Linked DNA regions of Macaca mulatta. The protein of the gene in region 3 interacts with the protein of the main gene of each other region in a biochemical or structural test. Links are inferred from orthologs where the notes say so. Each region holds a gene or a part of one and is shown on either strand. Other genes may lie near its edges. The genes, in order: TBL1X, NCOA6 and THRB.

Evidence for each region.
Region 1: the proteins of THRB (region 3) and TBL1X form a complex in vitro, tested with the Homo sapiens proteins (2 studies listed by BioGRID). The link is inferred for Macaca mulatta from reciprocal best matches to the Homo sapiens genes THRB and TBL1X.
Region 2: the proteins of THRB (region 3) and NCOA6 form a complex in vitro, tested with the Homo sapiens proteins (2 studies listed by BioGRID). The link is inferred for Macaca mulatta from reciprocal best matches to the Homo sapiens genes THRB and NCOA6.

Annotation. Positions count from the first base shown.
Region 1 is NC_133426.1:9,264,068-9,267,718, forward strand, and holds part of TBL1X (F-box-like/WD repeat-containing protein TBL1X), read left to right. Parts: intron 1-2,831; coding exon 2,832-2,933; intron 2,934-3,651. UniProt on the Homo sapiens protein: F-box-like protein involved in the recruitment of the ubiquitin/19S proteasome complex to nuclear receptor-regulated transcription units. Plays an essential role in transcription activation mediated by nuclear receptors.
Region 2 is NC_133415.1:87,532,403-87,536,053, reverse strand, and holds part of NCOA6 (nuclear receptor coactivator 6), read left to right. Parts: intron 1-1,580; coding exon 1,581-1,702; intron 1,703-3,651. UniProt on the Homo sapiens protein: Nuclear receptor coactivator that directly binds nuclear receptors and stimulates the transcriptional activities in a hormone-dependent fashion. Coactivates expression in an agonist- and AF2-dependent manner.
Region 3 is NC_133407.1:24,163,936-24,168,082, forward strand, and holds the start of THRB (thyroid hormone receptor beta), read left to right. Parts: upstream 1-1,267; 5' UTR 1,268-1,372; coding exon 1,373-1,406; intron 1,407-1,648; coding exon 1,649-1,777; intron 1,778-4,147.

The DNA.
Region 1 (3,651 bases), on a different chromosome or scaffold from region 3:
TTCTGTTCACTTTCTGAGTCCATGGCATGAAACCTTCCACCTGCCTCTTCCTCTTCTTAGCAGTTATCACTGAAACGCTGCTCTCTAGATACTGAGGCTGGAGGGTGGGAGTGGGGGACCAGCTAATGGGGTCGAGGCCAGCTCCACCTCCTCTGCCCGCACCAGCTCCTGCAGCTCCCCCACGGAGCAGACCAGGGAGTGGGAAGCAATGTGCGCTTGCTGTTGTCATGGCATTTCTATTTTTCTTTTCTGTTTTGTTTTCTTGTTGTTGTTGTTGTTGTTTGTTTTGTTTTGTTTTGAAACGGAGTCTCACTCTGTTAACCAGGCTGGAGTGCAGTAGCGCGATCTTGGCTCACTGCAACCTCTGCCTCCCAGATTCAAGCGATTCTTCTGCCTCAGCCTCCCGAGTAGCTGGAATTACAGGCACCCGCCATCATATCTGGCTAAATTTTGTATTTTTAGTAGAGACAGGGTTTCACATGTTGGCCAGGATGGTCTTGAACTCCTGGCCTCAGGTGATCCGCCCACCTTGGCCTCCCAAAGCGCTGGGATTACAGGTGTGAGCCACTGCGCTCAACCTCGATTTTTCAAATCAAAGTAGGTTCTGTTTAAGGACATAAGGTATGTCAATATTGGGTTGTCCTTTTAGCAGAGATTGAAAGGACATAGGATTTAAATAAAGGTGGCTGCTGTGGGTATCTTGGGTCACACCTGAGGATAGAAGAATTCAAGCTGTAAAGTGTAGAAATGGATGGGAAGTAGCACTGCATAGCGTAAAAGATTATAGAGGGCCATCAGCACTTGATTCTATTCTAAGGGAAGACAGACAGGTGATGATACGCTAGGAGCTGTTGAAAACAATGAAGGGGTCCCTTTTGCCTCAGGAGGGAGGAATCACACAGCCTGCCCCCGTCCCCTTTCATCTGCACTGCCTTCTTGGTTCCTTTTGGCTTGGTTGACATTCAGCTGGATTTACATCCTCAAGTTCATTCCCCCTGTGGACTCATGGGTGATGAGCCCTGTTCACTGGCAAGTGGTCCACTGAGATCACAGGCTTCCCAGGGACCTCATGTGAACCACATCCTCTCAGAGAAGGAAAGGAAATGGTGGACCCTGCGTAGAGCCAACCCGATGCCAAGCCCAGCCCCACAGCCCTAGATAGCCCTCCGGGAAGCGCACATCTCAGGACTAGTGTGCAAGAGTCTCTTGTCATGAAATCCTTGCTAGAAATAGTAATGGATGGATTTGTAAAAACAACACATCAATTATCCAAAAAAAAATGACATGATCAGTTAGGTACAGCCTGTTACCAAGAACTCACTGAATTGTTTCAACCCTTTTTTATAAATCAAAGAAATCCTTAGGATTTTTCTTTTTTTTTGGATCGGAGTTTCACTCTTGTCACCCAGGCTTTAGTACAGTGGCGCCATCTTGGCTCACTGCAACCTCCGCCTCCCAGGTTTGAGCAATTCTCCTGCCTCAGCCTCCCAAGTAGCTGGGATTACAGGCGCACACTAGCACACCCGGCTAACTTTTGTATTTTTAGTACAAACGGGGTCTCACCATGTTGGTGTTGAACTCCTGACCCCAGGTGATCCACCCACCTCGGCCTCCTAAAGTGCTGGGATTACAGGCATGAGCCACCGTGCCCAGCCAAGAAATCCTTAGGATTTTTCTTAAGAGAAATCTTAAAGCCCACTTTAATCTTTCTCCAAATATAAAAATACTTATCTATAATACTGCTGACATACACCTTTCTCAGTTCATGGAACACCACGCTTTAAGGAGCCCAGTTGAGCAGAGGATTTGCAACAGCCCTCCTGGTCTCAGTCCTCAGATTTCTCCTGCCTGTCACCATTAGTGAATCATGAGTGAAGGCTTATTCGACTCTTTCTCTCTTTTTTATTTTTTAAAATTAATTTTTGTAGAGACGAAGTCTCTCTGTGTTGCCCAGGCTGGTCTTGAACTCTTGGGCTGAATCAGTCCTCCTGCCTCGGCCTCCCAAAGTGCTGGGATTACAGGGTCAGCTACCTCGCCTGGCCTTATTCAACTCTTTCAAAGGCCTCTACTTCCCCTACCTCTTAGATTTGTCACGTTAATGCTGTTTTAAACCAGAAACCAATGGTCTGTGGTGTTTTCCATTACATGTATATTATGCATTTGTTCTTTCAAATGTCCCAAAATAGGTACATTTTAACATCTTGGCGTATTAATACATGTAATCGTGAATTATAGTCAATTTCATTGCTACTGGGGTGGGGGTATTCACTACGTTGTATTCATTGAGGTCCTCCAAGGAACAGACACCAAAACAGGATGAGATGGGCAAGAGATTTATTGAGGAGCTGTGATGGAAACAGGGAGGGAGGTAGGGGGAAGGAAGAATTCAGACCATAAGGCCAGTCTGACCCTGGGAAGGAGACGGGAAGGGTAGGAAGAGTCAGGGATGGCCCTACAGGTCAGTAGAAAGTTTTGGCCATGCTGATGGAGAGTCCATGAGCCACTTATCCACCAGATGAGTCTGAGTCTCAGCAGATGACTGCCATGGTCTCCTGCCTCCGTCAGTCCTCAGCTGGGCGCAACCTCAGAATCCACGCACATGTGGTGGCAGATTCCACAGGCATAAGTAATCAGGTTTACTCCCTGTGGTGGGAAGTCCTAGAGATAACATCTCCACAGCCCCCAGAGTCCTTACTGAAAACCCTTAAATTTTACCGTGCTTGAAAATGTTCATGACCAAACACCAGGGCAGGAGGAGCACACATTGTACAACTGCATCTGTCGCAGGCGCCCCTTGCATCATTGTAAGTGACAGCTGCTTTGCTTTGCAGAGTGGAAATCTCGTCCACAGCTACCGAGGCACTGGCGGCATCTTCGAAGTGTGCTGGAACGCCCGAGGAGACAAAGTGGGCGCCAGCGCGTCCGACGGCTCTGTAAGCAACACCTCTGGTTTGCTGGAGAGTGGGGTGTTGGGGGCGGCTGATGCCGAAGTGAGCTTCGAGGGCATATGCAGCGTTCGTGTCCTGAAGGGCCTAGCCCAGTGCCAGAGGAAGCTTCTGGGCTGGATCCCATCTGAGTTGGTACCACATCTGGGAATGGCCTTCTCCTTGTCCCTTCCAGAATGTCCTTCTAGTCAACATTTTCTCAGTCAAATTGTTGGTTCTCAACCAGGGTGATTCTGCACCTCTGAGGACATTAGACAATATCTGGAGCCATTTGAGGTTGTCACTACAGTCATGTGTCGCTTAATGATGGGAACATTTTGGGAAATGTGTCATTAGGCACTTTTATCTTGGTCTGAACATCACAGAGTGACTGACACAAACCTAGATGACAATACCTGTCACACACCTAGGCTGTATGGTAGAGCCTATTGCTCCCAGGCTACAAACCTGGACGGCAGGTGGCCATACTGAATACCGTAGGCAACTAGAACACAATGGTAAGCATTTGTGCGTCTAGATCTATCTAAACATAGAAAAGGTTCAGCAGGAATAAGAGTTACAGTCTTACAGGACCACTGCTTTCTGTGCGGTGCATTGTTGCTGGAAACGTCATTATGTGGCACATGACTGTGCTTAGATGGGGATGCCACTGGCATCTCGTGGGTGGAGCTTAGCAATGCTGCTAAACCTCCTACCGTGCATAGGG
Region 2 (3,651 bases), on a different chromosome or scaffold from region 3:
TCTCTCGATAGTCTGGGAGTAAAATTGCAAGGTTATTCAGTTGCCTCTAGTGTGCATTTTTTGCCATCTTCACCAGCCCTTAGGGAAATTGCTTACTTAGGTCTGCAAATTGTGAAAGCGACCTTATACAGCATCAGGACTCCTAGGAAAGGGAGACAGTGGGTTTACAGGAAAAGTACCTGCTTCCAGCTCTACCACTAGTTCACTGTGAAATCTTGGGCCTGTTTCACACACCTTTTTGGGCCTTTGTTTTCTCATTCATAACATGAGGGGGCAGGCGGGGCATGGTGGCTCACGCCTGTAATCCCTTCACTTTGGGAGGCCGAGACGGGCAGATCACGAGGTCAGGAGATCGAGACCATCCTGGCTAACCCAGTGAAACCCCGTCTCTACTAAAAAACACAAAAAAACTAGCCGGGCGAGGTGGCAGGCGCCTGTAGTCCCAGCTACTTGGGAGGCTGAGGCAGGAGAATGGCGTGAAGCCAGGAGGCAGAGCTTGCAGTAAGCTGAGATCGCACCACTGCACTCCAGCCTAGGCGACAGAGCGAGACTCCGTCTCAAAAAAAAAAAAACATGAGGGGGCTGGACCAGATATTTGAGATTTCTTAGCTCTACAATTTTCTGAAAGTAAGGGTTACCACTGAATCTTTGCCTGTAATTTAAAGTGAGAGAAGTTTTACAAGGAGCAAATTGTTACGGGGGTCTGGATGTGCTAAAGATCTGCTTCAGGTTCTAAATTTCCATGTGCTAGGGGGCTTTTAAAATGGATTTTGGTGGCTTATGAAACTGTACACAGTAGAGTGAGACAAAACACTACCTAAAAGTGGGTGAACAAAATCAGGGCAAAGGGAAACTAAAGATAGAAAAGAAAAGTACAATTAGTACTGAGATTACAAACAAAATGAGGCCCATGATCTGTCTTGTTCTTTGAGAATGTGGATGTTAGTAGCTACATTTTCTTCATTTTTTTCTTCCCCACTGAAAATTTTAAGCTACACCCAGGTAAAAGTGAAGGCATCTCAAAGCCAATAGAGATGTCTGCACATTCTGCAGCAAAATTTTTGTTATGGTGGTCTCAATCTTTATTTGTTCTCTGAACACCATTTCCATCAGCCAACCTATACACCCTTTTGCAAGGTGTTATGAATTGAGCCCCCACTGTTATATCCACAAAAAAGAAACAATCAGACCCTGTAGTTGAATTTGATCGCTACATTGGAGATAGTGTGGTTTCACAGGAATAATATCTTATAACATTGATAGCCCTATGATCAAGTCTTAAAAACATCTAAGGAATGGGTGGTTACATGAAAATTATTGCATCAGGAATTTGTGGAAAGCATTTTGAGTAAATACAGTGCTGTTAAATTAAGTGGATTTTAACATTTAATGAAATTGCCAGATTATTTTTATGCCAATATTTAATGTTTTATCCACACTAGAGAGAGATGAATAATGGTAATACAAACATTTTAGTTCTTCAGAAATAGAGGAAGGGTTAAGCTAGTTTTGTGTATTTTCTATGCAACTTATTCTAAAATATGTTACTTTTTTTTTTTTTTTTTTTTTTTTTTTTTTAGCACCCCAGATACTCGCCCAGCTGGTCTGGAAGAGGCTGATCAGCCACCATTGCCTGGAGAACAAGGAATTAACTTGGATAACTCAGGCCCTAAACTGCCAGAATTTTCAAACCGGCCACCAGGTGATAAAATGTTAGCTAGATTATACACTTATCACATGTGCATGTGGCATTACAAGGCTTCATTGTCTTCGAGGAAACAATAGTATTTTATCTGCTAACTAGTCTACTTCAGTGATTTAATGTGTCTCGCCTTGGTATTGAGTAAAAATTTCAGATATAACTTTTGAAGGCACATACACACATTCTATTCAAATTTGTCTTTGTTATTTTAAGTCCTCATAAAATCGGACTGAAATGGGGTTGGGCACGATGGCTCATCCACCTGTAATCCCAGCACGTTGGGAGGCCAAGGTGAGCAGATTGCTTGAGCCCAAGTGTTCAAGACCAGCCTGGGCAACATGGTGAAACTTTGTCTCTACAAAAATTTTTTTTAAATTAGCCGGGTATGGTGACACACACCTACAGTCCCAACTACTCAGGAGGCTGAGGTGGGAGTATCACCTGAGCCCAGGAAATTGAAGTTGCAGTGAGCCATGATCATGCCACTGCACTCCAGCCTGGGCTACAGGGGTGAGACCCTGTCTCAAAAAAAAAAAAAAAACCCTGAAATGTGAAGTGCCTCTTTATTCTTGTCAATGTCAAGGTTCTAGTTGGCATCAGAACAGGATAAGATTAAATGGAGAGATGATTTCACTCTAATCCTGCTTACCTGCCTTTCCTGCAGCGTTTCTTCCTGGGGCTTTTTCAAAGCAGGGAACTACCAGGGTTTAAAACAAGGTGATCTTTTTTATAGAAGTTTCATTATTGAGTCTTTAAAATATAAAAAAGATATAAAGAAAAGAGACACCCATTTTTCTGCCACGTAGGTTAATAATTTATAATAAATAGGACCAATATTGGAAGTCCCCTTTGTTGTACCCTCTCTGATTATAAAATAATACTATCCTTTAAATGTTGAAAAATTATGTCAACAATGGAAAAGCTCCTAAAACTAATTCATTCAAACATGGATATTATAGAACCAAAGCCAGCTGCCACAATATCTCTAAACCTAGTTATCTTGGCCTGAGCAATGACTTGTAACTTTATTCCCCTATGACACGGTTGAGAATGCACAACCCTTCACACTTAGGCTACTCTCTCCTGTATGTACAGAGGGTATGTTTTGTTTCTTCCTCACTAGTTATTTCAGCTCCTTTTTGGCATGAAAATGAGAGTGACATTATTTTAGGAATAAACTTTAATCTACCCCTGATTTATGTATTTTAAAAGTGAATCCAAACAAAAAGCTAAATCCATCATTATATCAATATTTTGTGTTATTTATTACAAATTGTTTGGGCATATCACACTTCCCATCAGTGAGATGCAGCGGCATAGCTGAGACTGGGTGGTCATCAGTCTTTGGGGAATATGTCCAGAAGGCATTGAGAACAGGAACATGCCTTCTTGCCTCAGACACATCTGAGGCAACTCTTCTATATTATATGAATCCCAGGGTGTCTTTGTATACATTTATTGCCTTCTTTCTGCAAACTGGGGACCTGCAGGCTGAATTTGGCCTATAATGGGTTTGAGTTGCTATGCAGTGTCTTAAACAAAAGTCTGAATTTAAATGCCTTTAAAGAGGGCATCTGCTCTGCAGTTTGGCATTGTTGACAGGACTCTTGCTATCTTATACCAGTCCACTTCTATTCTCTACTACCTGCCTGACCCCTAAAGGCATAGGAGTTTGCATTCCCTGAGTAATAAATTTGGTTTGTGATTGTGTTATGGGCACTGTGTGTGTCCTGGCTTTCCCTCTTCACCATTCTGTCACATCAACCCCAATCTGTCTTATCATTAGTGCCTTTTGGACTGCTGCCTCCAGCTTCTAGACTCTGTAGCAGCCATGCCCTTAACTGTTACCTTTGAGAGGCTGCTGTATTGTCTATGCTGTCCTCTTTGGTATTTACTGTCTGGTGGGCTGATTTTAAAGATAAAAGGCATCCATGTCATAGCCCTGACAT
Region 3 (4,147 bases):
TTAGTATACTTACACTCTTCGGAGGGTTTTAGCATTATTCTTTTACAAAATGACTTTCAAAAAAGTGGCACCCAAAGCAATGACTTGACTGAAAGTATATGACTGAGAAGGGCCTCTGTTGCTAGACTCCCATAATAGAGAGTACAGCTGAGATGTCCACTCATCCCCAAAAGGGAGTTATGCTACAGGTGTGACATCCAGAGCAGTGGATGTCCTTGCCCTCAGTTGTTTGAATACACTGAGTTTGCCATAATGCTGTGCTCCACAACCATGCCAGCTCCATTGGAACACGTGTCAGCTTTTTCTCAGTGATGATCTTTTTCCCTGAACAAACAAGGGGGTATATGACCCATTCTCTGAATTTTATATGAGTGATGGGGTGTTTTGTCCCTTCTGCTCGTCTAGGGGATCTGTCCATCGAGTTTATGAAAACTGTTTAGTATGCTATAACATGCATGTGCTAAAGCATATAAGGCTCCACTTTTTTATGTAGTTGTATACCCAAGTAACTACCACTTAGAAGAACATACAAAACATTTCCAGCAACCCTGAAGGTTGCCCGTGCCCCTCTCTGTCACTGCCTGCCCCATACCAGGGTTACCACTTTTCTGAATTTCATCACCATTGATAAATGTTTTTATCTGTTATTGAGCTTCTTTTACATATTACATAATACACATTCTTTGTATTTGACATTTTTTTGCTCAATATAACATTTGTAAGATTCATACCTGTTGTTACATATGTCAGTATTTTTTTTTATTGCAGAGTAGTATTGAGTACATGGATATACCATAGTATGTTTATTCATTTTCTTGTGTTACAGAAAACTGGGTTGTTTCCAGTTTGGGACTGTCTTTTGGTGGACATATGCATTTCTCTTGGATATAAATCTCGGGAAGGATTTGCTAGGCTATAGGGTAGATATATGTTTAATTTTATTAAAAACTTTCAATCAGCTTTCCGAAGTGGTTATAGAAATTTACAGTGCCCCCAACAGTGTAAGAGAGTTCAGTTGCTCCATATCTTCTACAATACTTGATAATGCTGGTCTTTTTAAATTTTAGTCATTATAGTGGATATGTAATAGTCTCTCATTGTAGCTTTAAGATGCATACTCCTTTGCATTTTCACCTAATATAAGTGAGTCATAAACATTGAATGTCATGTAGAAGCTTTTAAATTATTGGTTCAGGCTACTGTACGTGCAATGGTTTTTAAGGGATTACTAACCCTTTTAAGGAATCCTAACTATTTCTCTTTCCAGAGAGAAGTGATGTATAATTGTACAATCATCTCAGCTTAGTCAGATGTGAAAATTCCTCAGCCACATCCCTAGTGTGGTATCCCCATGGCATGGCCTTGGTAAACAATGCACAGAGGAGGACCCAACATTGCTACCATAGGTATTTGGCAATGAATTTGCTTCTACATACACAGGGAATCCTGTCCAATAATATCCAGTGAGCATTTATTGAGCACATACTTTGTTCCAGGCACTGTGCTGGGCATTGAGAAAGCAACAGGGAGATAGACACAGTCCATCTCTCTTTTGAAAGACTCACTGTCTAATGAGGGGGTGGGAAAGTGAACATACAGTTGTCATGCAGTGTGATAAATGCTTTGCAAAATGTGCATGTATTTTCAGGGGGCTTGGAGCAAAGGTCCTTGAAGAGAGCAAGAAAAAGTCTTCCCAGGAAAAGTGGTCACCTGAGTGAGTGTTACAGCGAGAAGGGGGGCATCCCAGGCAAGGCAGCTACCAAGCAAAGGTGTGAAGGTGAGCTTCTGCACAGGTTTCTCGAAGGTTGTTGGTACAGCTGGAGCATAAGGCACACGCAGGAGGCACTTGCAAAAGATATAACCAGGATGCGTACAGGGCTCATTATGAAGGGTGTACTTAAGTGAAAATATATTTTGCAGAATTTCAACCCAGAGAATCTCCCTTTTGGTTTACCTGCAAACAAAAAGAATCAATACTTCCTTTTGACTATCTCTGAACACTGAATTTTGGCTTCTACTCACTTTTTGAAGCTAAATTGTTTGAAGTTAGGCCCCTTCCTTCCTTCCTTCCTTCCTTCCTTCTCGTTCATTCATTCGTTCATTCTTTTTTGAGACAAGGTAGAGTACCATCATAGCTCACTGCATCCCTGACTTCCTGAGGGTCAGGTGATCCTCCCCCCTCGGTCTCCCAGGTAGCTGGGACTCCAGGCGCACACCACCATACCTGGCTAACTTTTTGCATTTTTAGTAGAGAGGAGATTTTGCCATGTTTCCCAGGCTGTTCTTGAACTACTGGGTTTAAGCAGTCTGCCCACCTTGGCGTCTCAAAATGCTAGGATTACAGGCATGAGCCACTGTACCTGGCTGAAGTTAGACTTCTATCTCTTTTTGTGAATACAGACATATTTTCTATTTAGCAGTTTAGAACCAATGTGAATTTTCCCATATATGATAGTCTAAGAATTGAATTATAGTTTCTTAACTAGGTTTTTGTTTTGTTGTGTTGTGTTGTGTTTTATATGCCTTCCAGACCCAACACCCTAGCCAGTGCAATGGCTCTGAGTGTGGCATAAGCCCACTTTTAGTCTTCTTATGGAATTGAGTAATGTTCTTGGTGTTAGCATCTCTCTTTTGATTGGAGGAGTAAGGCAGACACTTACATTTCTAATAAAAGATCAGCTTGTTGAAATTAAACCAGTCCTGATGGTGTCGGGAACCTTCTGCCCTGAGCACAACAGAGGCAGCCATGGGGTATCATAATTACCTCCATTATATTTAACAAACACTCAGGTAGCATGCACCTCTTTTGATTTTCCTTGCAGTATTCCAGCTACGTAGCAACTTGTTTACTTCTCACAAGCACCCTAGAGTTGGAAAGTTTCCACATATGGGGAAACTGAGGCACCAAGATATTAAATAACCTGCTCAAGCCACAGGTGGAATTTGAACTCACACGCTCATATTTGTAGACACCATACTATGTTGCTTCCTTTTACTTATAAAATATACAGGATCGGCCGGGCGCGGTGGCTCAAGCCTGTAATCCCAGCACTTTGGGAGGCCGAGACGGGCGGATCACGAGGTCGGGAGATCGAGACCATCCTGGCTAACAGGGTGAAACCCCGTCTCTACTAAAAAATACAAAAAACTAGCCGGGCGAGGTGGCGGGCGCCTGTAGTCCCAGCTACTCGGGAGGCTGAGGCAGGAGAATGGCGTAAACCCGGGAGGCGGAGCTTGCAGTGAGCTGAGATCCGGCCACTGCACTCCAGCCTGGGCGACAGAGCAAGACTCCGTCTCAAAAAAAAAAAAAAATAAAATAAAAAATAAAAATAAAATATACAGGATAAACTCAAAGGAACAAAGTTCATTCAGCGAACCTTTGTTGAGCAACTGCCTGGTGGGTGAGTCAGTGACACCTTTGCCCCAGAAACTCTTAACCTATTTGGGGAGACAGATAGTAATAAATGTTTGTAATGCAATGTTAACCTGAGGAGGAAATTCACTAACTTTGACTGAGGACGTTAGGGAAGGGCTTCTGCCTGAAATACAGGCTCAGCCTTCATGAAAAGGAGTGAACAGACAGGGCAGTTCTGAGTCGTGATAAGGCAGAGCTTGTGTGGGAGGTGTCAAGTGTGCCGAGGGGTGGGAGGTGCTTTAAGGTGTGCTGTGGAGACTGAAGTTAGGAATAGGACTGGTGGAAGGTGGTACTTGGGGCTGGGTGTGGGGGTCTTGTATGTGCGGCTGAAGAGTAGGACTTTAGCTTGTACCTGGTGGGAAGTCATTGAGGGTTATTAAGTAGAAGAGAGAGTTGATAAACCACCTTCTGGGGAGATCCGGTTTGGATAACATTGCCATAATTCAAGAGAGGATGTTAATTTGCAGTGTAGGTTATTTAGAATCTAGGAGCATCAGGTGAGTTGACAATTAAATGTAGAGTCTGAACTGTAGCATGTGGTGGGGGAGGAGAATAATGCTGAGCAAGAGAGAGAGAAGGAAGAAGAAAGGGGGGGAGTGTGAGCACAATGTCTTCTGAAAGGAAAAAGGAAGGAAGGAACCAAGGGAGAAGGGAAAAGAGGGAGAAAAAAGGAAGGAAAGGATGGAAAGAGAACAAAAAAGAATATGCCAGTATGTTTAAAAATATATTATT